Linked DNA regions of Rhinolophus ferrumequinum. The main gene of each other region encodes a partner of the protein of the gene in region 2 in a complex. Links are inferred from orthologs where the notes say so. Each region holds a gene or a part of one and is shown on either strand. Other genes may lie near its edges.

Region 1 (7,104 bases), on a different chromosome or scaffold from region 2:
ATAAATAAAAGTTAAAAAACGAAAAAGAGGTCTGGTTCCTTAAGACACAGCCAAGAGGGAGATGGACCCATACAATTAGATCAGTAAGGACCATCTCCATTCATCCCACAATACACACAGGGCACCAACCACTTGGAGACACTGCAGAGGGTACTAGAGCCCAGACAGGCTGTCTGATCAGTTGGGTCAGAGAAATAACATCCCTGCTAATTCACACAGGGAGCTCTAGGTGCTCCCTGAAATTCCAACAGGGCAGGAACTCTAGTTACCCATTTGCTAAGCAAAGAGAAGTGAAATGACTTGGCTGAGGTCCCACTTGCTTCTTGGGGTGGTGGCTGAGAAACTGACTCAGGACTCCGTGACAATCAAGTCTCCCTCCTGTTCTCCCTGCGCACTAACCTATCTTCTAGCGACTGGAGGGGGAGGGAGGAAGGCAGAATCAGGCAAATGCCTCCACGGTGAAAGGAGGGGCAGACAGGCAGGGAGAAATAAGGCAGCCCCAGCCGTCCTCCCAACCCAGCCACCAGAACAACCCAATCTGTGCACTACAGTCTGTTCCCCCCCACAAGGCGCTATCTCCTGGCTCCACTTTGAACGGCTAAAATTGCACCATCCAACACAAAAGCCAGAAGCCACTTATGTCTATTTAAATTCATTAAAATTAAGTAAGATGCTCCTTGACTGACAATGGTTGAAGTCCAAAAAAACCCAGCATAAACTGAAAATACCATAAATCAAAAATATATTTAAGGGGATGGCCCGGTGGCTCAGACGGTTGGAGCTCCGTGCTCCTAACTCCGAAGGCTGCCGGTTGGATTCCCACATGGGCCAGTGGGCTCTCAACCACAGGGTTGCCGGTTCAACTCCTCGAGTCCCACAGGGATGGTGGGCTCTGCCCCCTGCAACTAAGATTGAACACGGCACCTTGAGCTGAGCTGCCTCCCAGATGGCTCAGTTGGGTGGAGCACGGGCTCTCAACCACAAGGTTGCCGGTTCGACTCCCACAAGGGATGGTGGGCAGCGCCCCCTGCAACTAGGAACGGCAACTGGACCTGGAGCTGAGCTGCGCCCTCCACAACTAAGACTGAAAGGACAACTTGAAGCTGAACGGCACCCTCCACAACTAAGATTGACGGGACAACAACTTGACTTGGAAAAAGTCCTGGAAGTACACACTGTTCCCCAATAAGGTCCTGTTCCCCTTCCCCAATAAAATCTTAAAAAAAAACACACACACACATTTAAAACACCTGACCTACTGAACATCAGAGCTTAGCCTCACCTACCTTGAGCGAGCTCAGAATGCTTACATTAGCCTACAACGGGGCGATTATCTTGAGTTTGTCTCAAGAGTCACTGCCTTCCTTTTTCCTCTCATCAGAAGCAGGAGACACAGATGTGCGTTTTGTAGACATGACAGGGTGTGAAAACACAATATGCAAAAAGCGCTGGCAACACAGAACACTGTAGAGTATTAGCTGTTCGCCCTCGTGAGCGTATGGCTGACTGGGGGCCCACTGCCTCTGTCCAGCGTCACGAGGAAGTACCGTACTGCATATCATATCGCCAGCCGAGGAAAAGATCGAAATTCAAAATTGAAACAAGTTTTCTACTGAATGTGTATTGCTTTCCCACCATCATAAAGTTGAAAAATGTTAAGTCGAACCATCATAAGTTGGCAACTGTCTGTAAAGTGAAAACTTCGGTCCCTCAGTGGCACTAGCTACATTTCAGGCTCAGTAGCCACGTGTGGTTAGTGGCTACTGTACTGAACAGTGCAGATATAAAACACTTCCATCACTGCAAAAAGTTCTATTGACAGCCTGGCCTAAAATCTTTGATTAAATGCTACTCCTCCTTCCTTCCACTCAAAAAAAAAAAAAAAGTGTTATTTTATATCTTAGACCAAGTGGAAGAAATAAAAGAGGGGAAGAAAAAACAGGGACTCCAAAAATATACATACTTAAAAATATATGTAAATAAAAAGTAGGGATTCTGAAAGACCTCCTCCTCCTGTCGCGCACCCCTCCCACCAAAAAAAAAAAAAAAGAAATGAACGAGGGAAGGGCAGCAGGGTGACTGAGTCAAGAAGGAAGAATATTTTTTTTTAATTTATTGGGGTGAGAAACAATATTTAATCAACCACAAATGACCCTTCCCTACACTTTCACCAGTCCTGCCCATCTCGCACTGACTCAGCCAACAGGCTCCTGTGACTGAGAACAGCTTTTTTTTACTGCTTTAAAAAAAAAACAAAGCAACACAGACAAACCCAAAGGCAGGAGACTGCCCTACCCACATCCTGCCCCAGCAGCCCTTCCAAAATCCAGACGCCCTTCCAAGGATCCCTCCCCTCATTCCCGACCCATCCTCTTCATCCTCCTCCCATGTTTCTCCTCTTATCTAGAGCTCCTTCCCACAGCTTCCAGCTTTCCTATGTTCTGGATTGGAGGGTCAGAGGGTCAGACCCAACACCACAAGATCCTGACAAATTCTCTCCAAGGCCCTCACCAACCCAGGCTCTACCCAGGTCACCCTTCTTCTCCCTCCCTTTCCTCCTCCCTCACTTTCAAAAGTGGCCAACGTTCCTATTGTCCTTATCATATGCCAGGGCCAATTCTTAGCATTCTATATATTTAATTTTCACAACAATACTATGTAGTGCCACTGTTAGCATTTTCCCGAGGGGGAAAGAAATTAGGTCCAGAGAGCAGCAATCCCTTGCCCAAGGCTACACAGCTGTAAACTTGTAGATTTGGGATATAAAACCACGGTGGTCTTGCTTCATAACCTACCTTCTAAACAACTATTCTCTTATTGTGAAACTTCAGTTCATAGTTCTAAGGTAGCCCACAGGGACTTCCAGTTCGATGTGTTTCTAAAAAATGTGGACAAAGTGCCCTGTGGACCCCTCTCCCTCGTTTTCTCCTCTCATTACTTCAACAAATATTTACTGATCATCTCCTTTATAGAGTGATCAAAACAGACAAGATCCCTGTCCTGGTACTTGGTGAGGCGGCCCAGGACCAAACAACTTTTTTATGCCATCCATTTAAAAATCAGAATTGCAGCAAAGGAGCAAAGAAATACAGAGCACTATGAAAGCCGGTAGCAGGGGACGTGATCTCTCTTTTCTCCTCTTTGAAGGTGGGGGTTCTTGACCGAACACAAAGTCTTCCCCTCACTAAGGCAGTTTCACTCTCCACCCCCCGTGGGCAAAGGTCTCCTCTCCTTCTCTGGTCTCTCCAGGGGGCCACCCCTCCCGTGGGGGGTGGGTGGCAACTAATGAGGAACCCCCCCCTCTTTTTCCAAGTTGTATCCCTCCTTCAGGATCCCCAAAGAAGCTGCCTCGCTTTTCCTCTTTTAAGGAAGTGGAAGGTCTCCCTTTGAGTGTCCTCTCCAAGTGGTTCTCCCTACCCTTGTCCCTTCTGTGACAGCCCTTCCTTCTCTCCCTGCAGGGACCCCACACTCTAAAGACAGCGTTGACACCCCTAGTCCCCCTTGGGGAAAACTCCCCGGTGCCCCAGGTACTCACAGTTCTAGCCAGCCGCCGAACCCCAAGCCGCCGCAGGAGCAGGCCAACATAGCGCGAGCCTCTACTTGGTCCCCAAATCCGCGCCGCGCCAGCCGCCATCGCCATCTTGACCAACAACAACTGCTCTGCGCTCCTCCCCTCTCCTCCGCGAGACTGGGAGCTGCCCCTTCCTGAGCCTTACTCAAATGCCAGCACCACCCTGCCAAGAAACCACCTGCTACTAGTCCTGCGGTCTCTACGACATCTATATATGGGTGTATGAAACAACCTAGCTACCCAAAAATTACTCTGATCGCCTCATCACAGTTGTTTCTGTAACAGGCAAAGAAAAGGGCAACGTGACCAGAGCCTCAGGATTTTAAGGCCCGGGGGCCTCGGGTAGGACGAGCCCATGCCAAGGCCCGCCCCGCCTTCTCTACTGTCCAATGCTCCTTCTAGAATTGTGAGGCAGGAGGGGGCGGGGCCAGGTTGTTAGTAAACGGGGAGCCACGTGCGGGCCCCCGAGCTGGGCTGTCCGGGATCGGCGCGTGCGCACTGGGTACGCCGCCTGTACGCAAGCGCGCACTCTGTGCGGAAGCGACAGCGCGCGTGGTTTGGTCTTGTGGAGGGGGCGATGCAGACTGACGCCAAGATCCGCACTGCGGGTGGAACAGAGCCGGGCCCTCAGGGCCCCGGCTGCAGCCTCCGGCACTTTGCCTGCGAACAGAACCTGTTGTCCCGGCCGGATGGTTCTGCCTCTTTCTTGCAAGGTGAGAACTTAAGCCAGGTAAATACTGCCGGAGCCACGGCCATCCAGGTCGTATTTGTTTTAGGGGGCGCCAAAGGTGTAACGTGCAAAGAATGCCCACCTCTTTTGATACTAGTAGGTAAATGTCGCTCCTGAACTGGTACAGAACGTCTTCTTCAGGTGGATACTACTAAATACGTTAGGATGCAAATATCTCTCCCGACTAGTAGGGAGAAGATATCTCCACCCTGGTAAATGATTATAAGGAGAGAGGTGCAGACCTCCCCATAAGCGTGAATACTCCAGAACAGGGAAAATCAAACCAAGATAAATGTCCCCCTTGATTTGATTTCCTCCTCCTCCACACACACACACACCCCTACCCCTGAGTCCTTACGTCCCAGGCAGAGGCAAACCTGCCAATTTGCATAAATGCCCCATTACCGGCTTAATTTACTCCCTGCAATGGCAGATCTTTCACCCAAGTAAATACTTTTCATGTCATAGGTGATGTCTGCACCCTGGTAGGAGATTTTCCCCACCCCCACCCCACCAATTGGGTAAATATCCCTTTGACAGGGATACACATCTCTCCATGTGAGTAAATATCCCTAACATTGGAGCAGGTCTTGCCTATTGGGTAAGTATTCCCTTCCTCTAGCTAAATACCTCTCAAACTCCCTGACCCGGGTAAATAATTCCTCTAAAGATAGGCCTAAGGATTACCCCTATAGATGCTTCAGTTCTCTCCCTAGGGCACTAGCTTCTACTCAATTACAAACCTGCTTTCATTCATTTCTTCATTCATTGGACACATGTATTTGTGCCAAGTACCGTTCCAGGCACTGAGAATATATCAATAAAAATATTTTAAATCCCTGACCTAATGGAATTTACACCCTAATAAAAAAGACAGACAGTAAATAAGATAACTAAGTAAAATGTTATGGAGAAAAATATAGTAGGAAAGGGGAATAGAGTACGCCCGAGAGGGTTGCAGTCTTAAATAGGATGGTCAGAAAAGGCTGCAGTAAGATGGTAACATTTGAATAAAGACCTAGAGGTAAGGGAGCAAACCCTGAAAATAAACAGGAGTGAAGAGCGAAAGCATCCCAAGCGTGAGGAATAGCAGGTGCAAAGGCCTTGAGGCAAGAACTTGCTTGATGTGTTTGAGGAAGTGAGACCAGTGTGCTGGAGCAGTGAGTGAGAGGAGGTTTGGAGAGAGGTACTGAAGCTTGCCCATCGTACAAGTTTATGGCTTAGTGAATGAGGTGGGAGCCATTGGAAGTTTTGCTCAGAGGAGTGACATGATCTGAATATATTTTAACAGAATCTCTCTGGATTCAGTGTTGCCTGGAGATGGTATGGGGAAAGGGGGAGGTCATGGTGGCCCAGACCAGAGTGGAAGCAATGGAGGTGGTGAAATTCTGGATGTATTTTGTTGGTAAAACCGACAAAATTTGCAGATGGTTTGGTTTGGGGGTATGAGAAGAGAGGAATCATGCTAAGGTTTTTGCCCAGATCGGCTGTGCTAGGGCAAGATGAGTTCAGTGTGGAACATGAAGTTTGCGGTGCCTAGTGGATACTACAGTGGCAATCTGGACCGGGCCATTGGACATACAAGTCTGGAATTCAGAGGAGGGACCCAATCTGGACATACCATATGAAATCCTCTGGCTATCGATGGTATTTTGAGCTCTTGATTGAATGAAATCACCTAGAAAAGTGGAGTGTAGATGGGAAAGAGAAGAGGTCCCAGGACCAAGCCCTGAGTCTTCTCACTTGTGAGGAACTACTGTGTTTCCCCGAAAATAAGACCTAGCTGGACAATCAGCTCTAATGTATCTCTTGGAGCAAAATTAACATAAGATTCAGTCTTATTTTACTATACAGGTCTCAATATATAATATATAATAATATATAATATAAGCAAAATCAATAGAAGACCCAGTATTGTATTATATTACATTATATTGTATTATATCATATTATATTAGACCTGGTCTTATAGTAAAATAAGACTGGGTCTTATATTAATTTTTGCTCCAAAAGACGCATTAGAGCTGATTGTCCTGCTAGGTCTTGTTTTGGGGGAAACACTGTAGCAGAAGACATTGAGAAGGAGCAGCCAGTAAGACAGGAGAAAAACTGAAAGAGGGCGGTGACCTAGAGCCCAGAGAAGGCGTTTGAGATGTGAAGGTCTGACTAGCTACATCAGTCCTACTGAGGGGTTGCATCACATGAGGATGGAACAGACCTGGGGGTTGATTGGTGATGCTGTCAAGAGATATTCCAGTGGAGTGGCGGGGTCAAGGAAAAGAGGAAAAGGAGATAGCAAATGGAGACAGCTCCTCAGGAGCTTGGCTGTAAGAGGATCAGATTCATGGGGCCGGAGTTGAAGATGGATGTGGGTCTGGAGAGGAGAGAATTGCTCTAGAGAATTGCTGGTGCCATGTAGCGGAGAAGGTGAGAGGAAGGACTCCTGTGCTTAAGGGGACGGCAGACCGCTCATCGGGAGTAAGAGGAATAAAGACCCCAGCGTGGATCTAGTTCTTCTTGGGTAACTTCGCCCTTCAGGGTAGATTCTCCGGGAGCACAGAGAACCCCTCAGTTGTGTGGCAGCTCTTCCTCCCTCAGGAAAAACAGCCCCAACAGAGGACCTTCCCAGTCCCACCCCCAGGCTTAGCTGTCTTGCTAAAATCAGACGCCTGGAGTTTGTTAGCGCCTTCCTGTTCTAAAACCCCAAAGCCCCAGGACCTTGGAGCAAGGGGAGTCCTTGAAGACCCTTAAAGGTGTGTTCCAGGTGCTTTTGGCCTCAGAATCTCTGGTGAGCTTAAAACGA
Region 2 (7,883 bases):
AATAAGTATTGTAATGGAGGAAACTTAGTAAGAACAGTCACTGTAACTAATCTTTATTATTGCTAAATGTGGGCTGAGAGCTACTCCAAGCGCTTTGCACATAGTATTTAATCCGCAGCACCACTTTATGAGGGTATTATTAGCTGCATTTTTTTTCCAGAAAGGTTTACACCTTGCCCAAGGTCACCCAGCTCATAAGCTGCAGCTGGAAGTTCATCCAGGCCATTGGCTCTGGAGCCTGAGCTCCTTATCTATTAAACTCCTGCTCATGAAACCACGTCCACGTGTGCTAAGTACTTGCTAAAGAACCTCAAAGAAGTCACCTTATTTGTCTCCAGCAACCTTGCTCACATCCTATTTGATCATCTTGAATGCCACACTCCACTTACATACTCCTTCATGCCCACATTTTCAGGCTCCCTCAAACGCCTCCTCATCGGAGACGCTCCTTCCTGATTATGCTCTCCTGACCCTCCTCTTCCCCTGGCCTGGCTTTACTTTTCTTTATATCACTTATCACTGTCAGCCATTATTCATGTGCTTGTCTGCAGATGATTGGACTGTCCACCTGTCTCTATAACATAAGCTCTAAGGGACTGTGACTATTGTGTGTATTGCATTGTCCCAGTGCTTAGAATAGAGCCTGGCACATAGTAGGACCACAGGAAATACTTGTATAAATGACTAGATTCTTACAGAGTTTTACTTCTTACACAATCCAATTTTTACCAGTGATATCAAATGAAAAGTAAAGAAAAATACCACCATCAAACATAATATATAATCTCTATAATTTCAATCTTCCCTCCCAGCCCCTGTTTATAAGCAGATACTGGTATTTTACAGATAAGTACTCATAACTGAGATTCTAATACGCATTCTGCCTTTTCAGATAACATTATTGGATCAGATTAAAAAGTCCATTACTGGATGGATTTTTGTCAATGACTTTCAACAAACTACATTTTCAGGCTCAGTTTATTTATTTACTTTTTAAAGCAAAAGCAAAGTTGGCCAAGGCTTTTCCATTTGCGTCCTAGAAGTCATTATTTCCCCCTGCAATTTTTATTACCAGTGGTAGAGATTACAGTTCTAGTCCATTAGTACTTAAGTAGAGCAAGATTCTTGAGATACAAACCAGGCTTTCCTTTCAGGCAACCCGTTAGATCATTAAAAAATGTCCTGGTCACTAAAGAAAGCACACTTCAGTGACACAGATCTAGCATTTTATGTACCACAAATTCCTTCGCAAAATGTTTCAGCAGCCTTTTGATGAGCTCAGAAGTTGCAAAGAATGTCAAATGGAGATTCCTTTGCACTATCAACAAGATGGAAACAGGCCAGTGAAACATGAAAGAAAGAAGTAGTACTTACCTCAGGAGAGTTGGTTCTCGAAATTGCTTTATCTGCCTACTGATTCTTAGCAGCTTAAACAACACACATTCATCACCAAGTTTCTATGAGTCAGGAAACTAGGCAGAGCCAAGTGAGGTCTGCTTAATGGCCTCTCTTAGGGACGCAATCAAGACATCAGCCAGGGCTGGGTCTCAACTGAAAGCACAACTTGAATGGACCTGTCTGCAACTCACCTACGTGATGGTGGGCTGTACTCAGTTTCATGTGGGCTGCGGATTGTGGGGCTCAACACCTCCATGGCTGTTGGATGGAGGACACCCCCTCACATAGAAACTTGCTTCACAAACCCAACAAGGGACAGAATCTTCTAGCAAGATAGAAGTTACATTCTCTGCAATCTAATCACAGACGTGTCATCCCCTCCACGTTGAGATATCTATTGGTTAGAGGCAGGTCACTGAAAGGGGGAGGATTACACAGGCCCTGAATACCAGGAGGTGGGCATCATGGGGGTCATCTCAGAAGCTGCCCACCACTGAAGTTCTCTCTCAAAATAATGCTGCATTGCTCGCTAAAGAGATGTGACACCTACCACCTTCTGGCCTGGCTGTCCACTGTTACCTCACATAGAGTCAGCATCGTCTGGGGTTCTCCCACTTCTCCTGAAGTAGCTGCTTCTGCAACAAACTAAGCCTCCCTTCCTAGGCAACTTAAGAAAGAGGAAAACAAGAAATAAGGTAGAAACTTCCCCTCTTAAATCATTAACTTGAGTAAAGAGTCAATCAATGATATAGGTGCAACATCCCTGGGCTTTGGGGCTGAAAGAGTGGCTAAGGTTGTACAAATGACATATTCTGTAAGTCTCTCCATGAAGAGCCAACACCACTTTTGCACGTCCAGCTTCTCCTATGGCTCATTGTTAGCAGTTCAGTGCCAGTCGCATTCTCTCTCGTGTGCAAGCTGTGGAGTTACAGTTGGACCTGCTCACGTCTCTGCATTTATGAGCCCTACTTCATCACTGTACTTCTAATTGCGTGCCAAGCCTAAGCACAAGAAACTGAGTTCAGATAATCTAAGAACAGCAGCTTTCTTCTCTACATAATGTCAACTGTAAAGTACTCAAGAGAGGAAGTCAAGATCCTCACAGAGACAGCAAAAGAACTCGTTCAGGGCTAAGGCGAAGATCACCCGCTTGGCACAGAAATGGGTTCCCATTTACGAGACGCAGTACAGCGCAGCGGTTACGAATACAGTCTCTTGAGACAGACCGCTTGGGTATGAATCCTGCTCCTAGGATTCACTAGCTGTGTGACCCTGGGCTGTGTGACTCTCTGTGCCTTGGGTTCCCCCCCCCCCAAAATAATACTTTTACCTACCTTACAGGGTAATTATTAGGATTAATATTTGTAAGTGCTTAAATTAGGGCCTGGCACATAGTAAGTGTTATATGCATGTTTGCTAAAAGGAAACGGCTATAGGTTTTCACTTCATGCGACTTCCAGTTTCTGGTCCAACAGTAGTAAGCTTGGAAGTGGTCACTCCACACAACATGACAAAAACTGAGCAAATGAAAACTCTACACCTTTTCCTAGATCCATCACAGAAGTGAGATCACAGGACAAACTACTGCCACATGATGTGGAGAGGCAGGTAGGGGGTACAGGAAGGACACGGACATCTGAAGAGCTACCGTGTCCAGAACACTGTGTTAGGTGCTTTCATCCCCACCACTTAACACAAAGCAATTATTATTTCTAACCTAAAGAAGCCCTCACTCAGCAGGATTATTTAACTCACCCAAAGTCCATTTGAGCTGAAGTATATCTGAAACCAAAAGTCTATTCTTCCACAGCCAAACTGCCTCCCAGGATAGACGGTTTCAATAAAGGCCTATTTCATTTCTGAAGGGAAAGAGAAATTACTAAATGTCCATAGAAGAATCCAAGGATTTAAATGATGAACTTAACCAGGAATTATAGTGAAACTGTACTATAAATACAAACTTACATTGTTAAAGAACTTAAAGGGCCTGTACCCTGTATTCTTCCTTATTTTGAAAACCAGTCCACGATCTGAGCTCGTGGACATAATTTCTGTGCACTTTCCTCCTACTTCACAATTCCTGTCTCCAGACAATGTCAGCTCATCCTATCTCAGTCTTGGCTAATGTTGCTTCCTTTGCTTGAAACACTTTTCCTTTCCTCCAGATGGTATCATGGCTGTTCCTTCTCATCACTAAGGATTTACTTAACTCAAAGGTCACCTCTCCAAAGTGACCTCTTCCTGCAAATACCCCTATTAAAGTAGCATCCCCATTCTCGGATAGCACTTAGTCCGTGAACTTATTTTTCTTGCTTGTCTCCTCCAAAGAGAATATAAATTCCTTGAGGGACAGTATCTGTCCACCCGGCTTATCCAGCACTTGAATTATTCTTGGAACACAGGAGGGCCTCACAGATAACTAGGTACATGAATTGCAAGTGTTACAAAGTGAGACTAAAATGCATCACTGATAGAAAAAAAAAAAAACCTGTAAGAGACAAAAGAAAGGAATAGAGCCTGCCATAGGATTTCCAGTGCCTACCGCCTCTGAAGCAAATAGAAACAAAATAATGCTATGCAAACATGTCAGTAATAGCGCTTACACCAGACTGGGCACTGTTCTAAGCATGTACAGACGTCTGTCACTCCAGTTTTGCAGATAAGTACAATGAAGCACATAGGCTAACTGGACTAGGGTCACAGAAGTAGAAAACGGCCGAGTCATTATTTGAACCCAAGTAGTTGGGTTTCCTGCATTTAATACTCCTTGATGCTGCCTCTCCAAAGAAAGCTTAGTGGTTTGGCAGCAGGGACACGCTGTTTCCTCTATACCCATAAAAATAAGTCAATCGGTTTAAAATAACTGGGGCGACTGTAAGAAATCAACAGCACATTTTGTTCCAGCCAATGGTAGTTATAACACCACTGGTTACGAAGTGGGACAGCCTCAGTTTCTGTCACCTTCTCAGGTCTCCGAGGTTTCACTGCAGCTCGTGGCTCAACTTTCTTCCCCCTCCTCTCCTCCTGCGCCCCTACATTCAGTGTTTCTCCCCTGAATCTGCCGGACACTCTGCCTCTGCAGCGTCCTGGTGAACAAACGTCGCCTTCCTCACCAGTAAAACAGCAGGAACACCTGTGCGGCCCACCCCGCTACAACTGAGGAAAGGGTGCCGTGAGAGCGCCACACTGCAATTCATTTCCATCCCTGACGCTTACTTCCGGGTCCTTCTGTCCCCTACGCTTGAGGAGACAAGACTCAGACCTTTCCGCTCAGAAGTGCGCCCCCCTCGGCGGCCGGGCTCTCGGCGGCCCGCTCGGCCCGCGCCATCCTCGCTGGGCGCGTGCGCACTAGCGGCCGCCAGCCTTCGCGTTCGCACCTCGGGCCGCCGAGCCCTGATGACGTAGAGGTCCTGCGCCTCCCGGCGAGCAGGGTGCGCGTGGAGAAGCTCGGGTCCCCGTCTCCGTACGGATTCCGGTGCCCCTGGGTCCCGGGACCCGACATCATGAAAGAGACACCACTTTCAAACTGCGAGCGCCGCTTCCTCCTCCGCGCCATCGAGGAGAAGAAGGTAAACGGTCCCGGGGAGCTTCGGCTGCTCGGGTCTCCCGGCCCGCGGCAGTCTTCCGGCTGGGACACAGACCTGGTCCCCGCAGGCCCCCGGAGCCCCTGGGGGACGGCCGGTGCGTCCCTCGTCCACCAGGCTTTATTTGGCTACAGGGGGTTCTTTGCCCGGGCACCTAGTTTCTACTTTCCTGGGGCGGAGGCGGAGGATCCCGCTTCCCTCCGAGGGCTTCGCCCAGGGCCCGGGCTCAGAGTAGCTGCCCAGTATCTGTTGAGGTGAATAAGCTGGTGTATATTGTGTTTCCAGCGCCTGGATGGCAGACAAACCTACGACTATAGGAACATCAGAATCTCATTTGGAACCGATTATGGGTGCTGTATTGTGGAACTTGGGAAAACAAGGTAACTTTGGCTTCAAATTAAACATAAGCTCAACGGGGAAAAGTTTAAAAGAACCTAACTGACTTAGTTGTTTACAGAGCAGCTAACAATCCTGCACGTTATTTTGTTTAGCTGCAAAAATAAGTGTATTTTCTTTAATGCAAGGTGCTTTATAGTCACGTTTTAAATTTTAAATCGTAAATGTACATTCTGTCACATGAATTTGTTTCCTTCAGTTGTCAGTAAGTAGGTCCTACTTTCCTTTTTCCTGCGTGACATGAGAATTAGATTTTTAATATTCATTTGGCGGTTGTGAGGACGTTGGTCAGATAATATTGGCCAACCATGCATGCCATAGGAAAACTCTTAAGAAATCTCAAGTTTTCGTGCCATCTTGTATCAGTAAATATTTATTTTAGAAAAGAGAAGTTAAGGGGATTTGTTTTTTTTAAAACGATCTGTGGAATAGTCAGTATTGCAATGAGATGTTTTTTCCTGTCATCTCTTTGGGTATGCCACTATGTATCTTATTCCTGTATATATTCTGCCACTACATATGTAATATCAACCTCTGATATATCATGATGAGTATGTTATTACTCAGAATATGATTGAAACTTAATTGGTATCTGTTTTAGTTTTTTTGTTAATTGGAAAGGCAATATATTTAGTTAACAGATTTGTACTTTATCTTTGCAGAGTTCTTGGACAGGTTTCCTGTGAACTTGTTTCTCCAAAACTCAACAGGGCAACAGAAGGTATTCTTTTTTTTAACCTTGAACTCTCTCAGATGGCTGCCCCAGCTTTTGAACCCGGCAGGTATTTTAATTTTCTTCTAAGCTGCTTTAACCAGAGGAGAATCTAATAGCAGTGAGGTATTGTTTTAACGCTTGGTTGACATTAGCCCATTCCTATTTTCATAGGCAGTCAGATCTCTTGGTGAAGTTGAATCGTCTCTTGGAAAGATGTCTAAGAAATTCGAAGTGTATAGACACTGAATCTCTCTGTGTTGTTGCTGGTGAAAAGGTGGGAAATCTGCTCAAAATTCTTAATCTTAGCATGAGTATTGTTGATTACGTTAATTCTTAGAGCTTCTTTAACTCAGGTTTACTTCACTTCAAATGTTCCTGAGAGCCAGCCATAGAACTTTGTGTCATTTCTCTGTGAAGGAACAAAAAACATTGATAAAAGTAGCAACTTGGATTTGTGAAAAAATGTCTTACTCAAAGAACTTGCGGTTTTTCATATGTCTTTATTTATTTTCTTATGTTGTTTGACTTGATAAGCAGATGGTTTCCTTTTTTTAATGAATGAAAAACTGAGGAACAGATTAAATCCTTCATTTGGATAGGTTTATTGACTTATACAAGGCTACACAGTGAGTCCGTGGTAGGCTGACATTGGAAATCTTACTCTCAATAAATTATTCTGCATGATGACATTAGTACTTTTTCCTTGATTAGGGTATTTCGACCATCTTTTGTGACTCCAGAAGTCACTTAGCCTTTCCACATTCCATACTTGAATATGACACTTCCTATTTGCATTACTTGTAAGATTATCATTTGTCAAGTAAAACCTAAGGGTTTGAGGTTTTTAAGTTAGGAGACAATAAAAATATAATTAGTTTTGGAGATAGGGAAATCTTAGTGTTAAATGTAGAATGGCTCTATATATTTAGGGCTTATATTTTGCTGTTGTGAAATGATTCATATAAAGGTGAACTGGTGGTATTTCAGATATTGGTCTGGCTTAACATTTTTCTAAATACAGTTTTATTGATACAATAGGAGGAATAATCACGTTTTAACAGCAGAAGAAAAATTTGCATACAGTGTTACTTTTCCTTTTAAAAGGCCACTGGTTGTGATCAGTTAGGATTTATTTTTGTTTTAAATTCACATTCAGGTTTGGCAAATACGAGTGGACCTGCATTTATTAAATCATGATGGAAATATTATTGATGCTGCCAGCATTGCTGCCATTGTAGCCTTGTGTCACTTCCGAAGGCCTGATGTGTCCGTCCAAGGAGATGAAGTGACACTGGTAAGCTCCCCGATGTGAGCTAGGCCTCTTTCTGTGAATGAATGAATATCCTTCACGTGCAGGCAACCTGTTAGTAGTAAAGGCTTGTAGATGGAAACAAGGTATGTTCTAAAATTTGTTCGTAAAGAAAAACTACCCTTGAAACTCTTAGATCTCCTGTATTGAAATGTCTGTCAAAAAGCACACTCTAGCCTGGTTTTCTAGAATAGAACGAGATGATTTCTTCTTTGGACCAAGCATTAGATGGAGTGTTTAGGGGCCACATGTGAAAAATACACTCTTCTCAGCACAGTGAGATGGTCGTGCTTACTCTGTGGCGAAGTTCATCAGAAATACCTGGCCAGTTTGTTAAAACATTGCTAGGCTTCACCCTCAGTAGGAAGGTTAGTAGGACCTATCAGTTTGTACTTCTATCAGCTCCCAGGTGATATGGATGCTGCTGGTGCGAGGACCACATTTCGAAAACTGTTGACCTATGTAGTTTACATTGTCTTTA

The links. The genes of interacting proteins can lie anywhere in the genome.
Region 1: EXOSC9 (region 2) and EXOSC5 share a complex: the UniProt entries of both Homo sapiens proteins name them as parts of the RNA exosome core complex. The link is inferred for Rhinolophus ferrumequinum from reciprocal best matches to the Homo sapiens genes EXOSC9 and EXOSC5.

What each region holds. Positions count from the first base shown.
Region 1 is NC_046298.1:39,685,691-39,692,794, reverse strand, and holds the start of EXOSC5 (exosome complex component RRP46), read left to right. Parts: upstream 1-4,080; 5' UTR 4,081-4,148; coding exon 4,149-4,284; intron 4,285-7,104. Other genes in the region: BCKDHA (2-oxoisovalerate dehydrogenase subunit alpha, mitochondrial), read right to left, coding at 3,536-3,640. UniProt on the Homo sapiens protein: Non-catalytic component of the RNA exosome complex which has 3'->5' exoribonuclease activity and participates in a multitude of cellular RNA processing and degradation events.
Region 2 is NC_046301.1:4,659,481-4,667,363, forward strand, and holds the start of EXOSC9 (exosome complex component RRP45), read left to right. Parts: upstream 1-4,782; 5' UTR 4,783-4,901; coding exon 4,902-4,967; intron 4,968-5,267; coding exon 5,268-5,362; intron 5,363-6,040; coding exon 6,041-6,160; intron 6,161-6,264; coding exon 6,265-6,367; intron 6,368-7,249; coding exon 7,250-7,387; intron 7,388-7,883. UniProt on the Homo sapiens protein: Non-catalytic component of the RNA exosome complex which has 3'->5' exoribonuclease activity and participates in a multitude of cellular RNA processing and degradation events.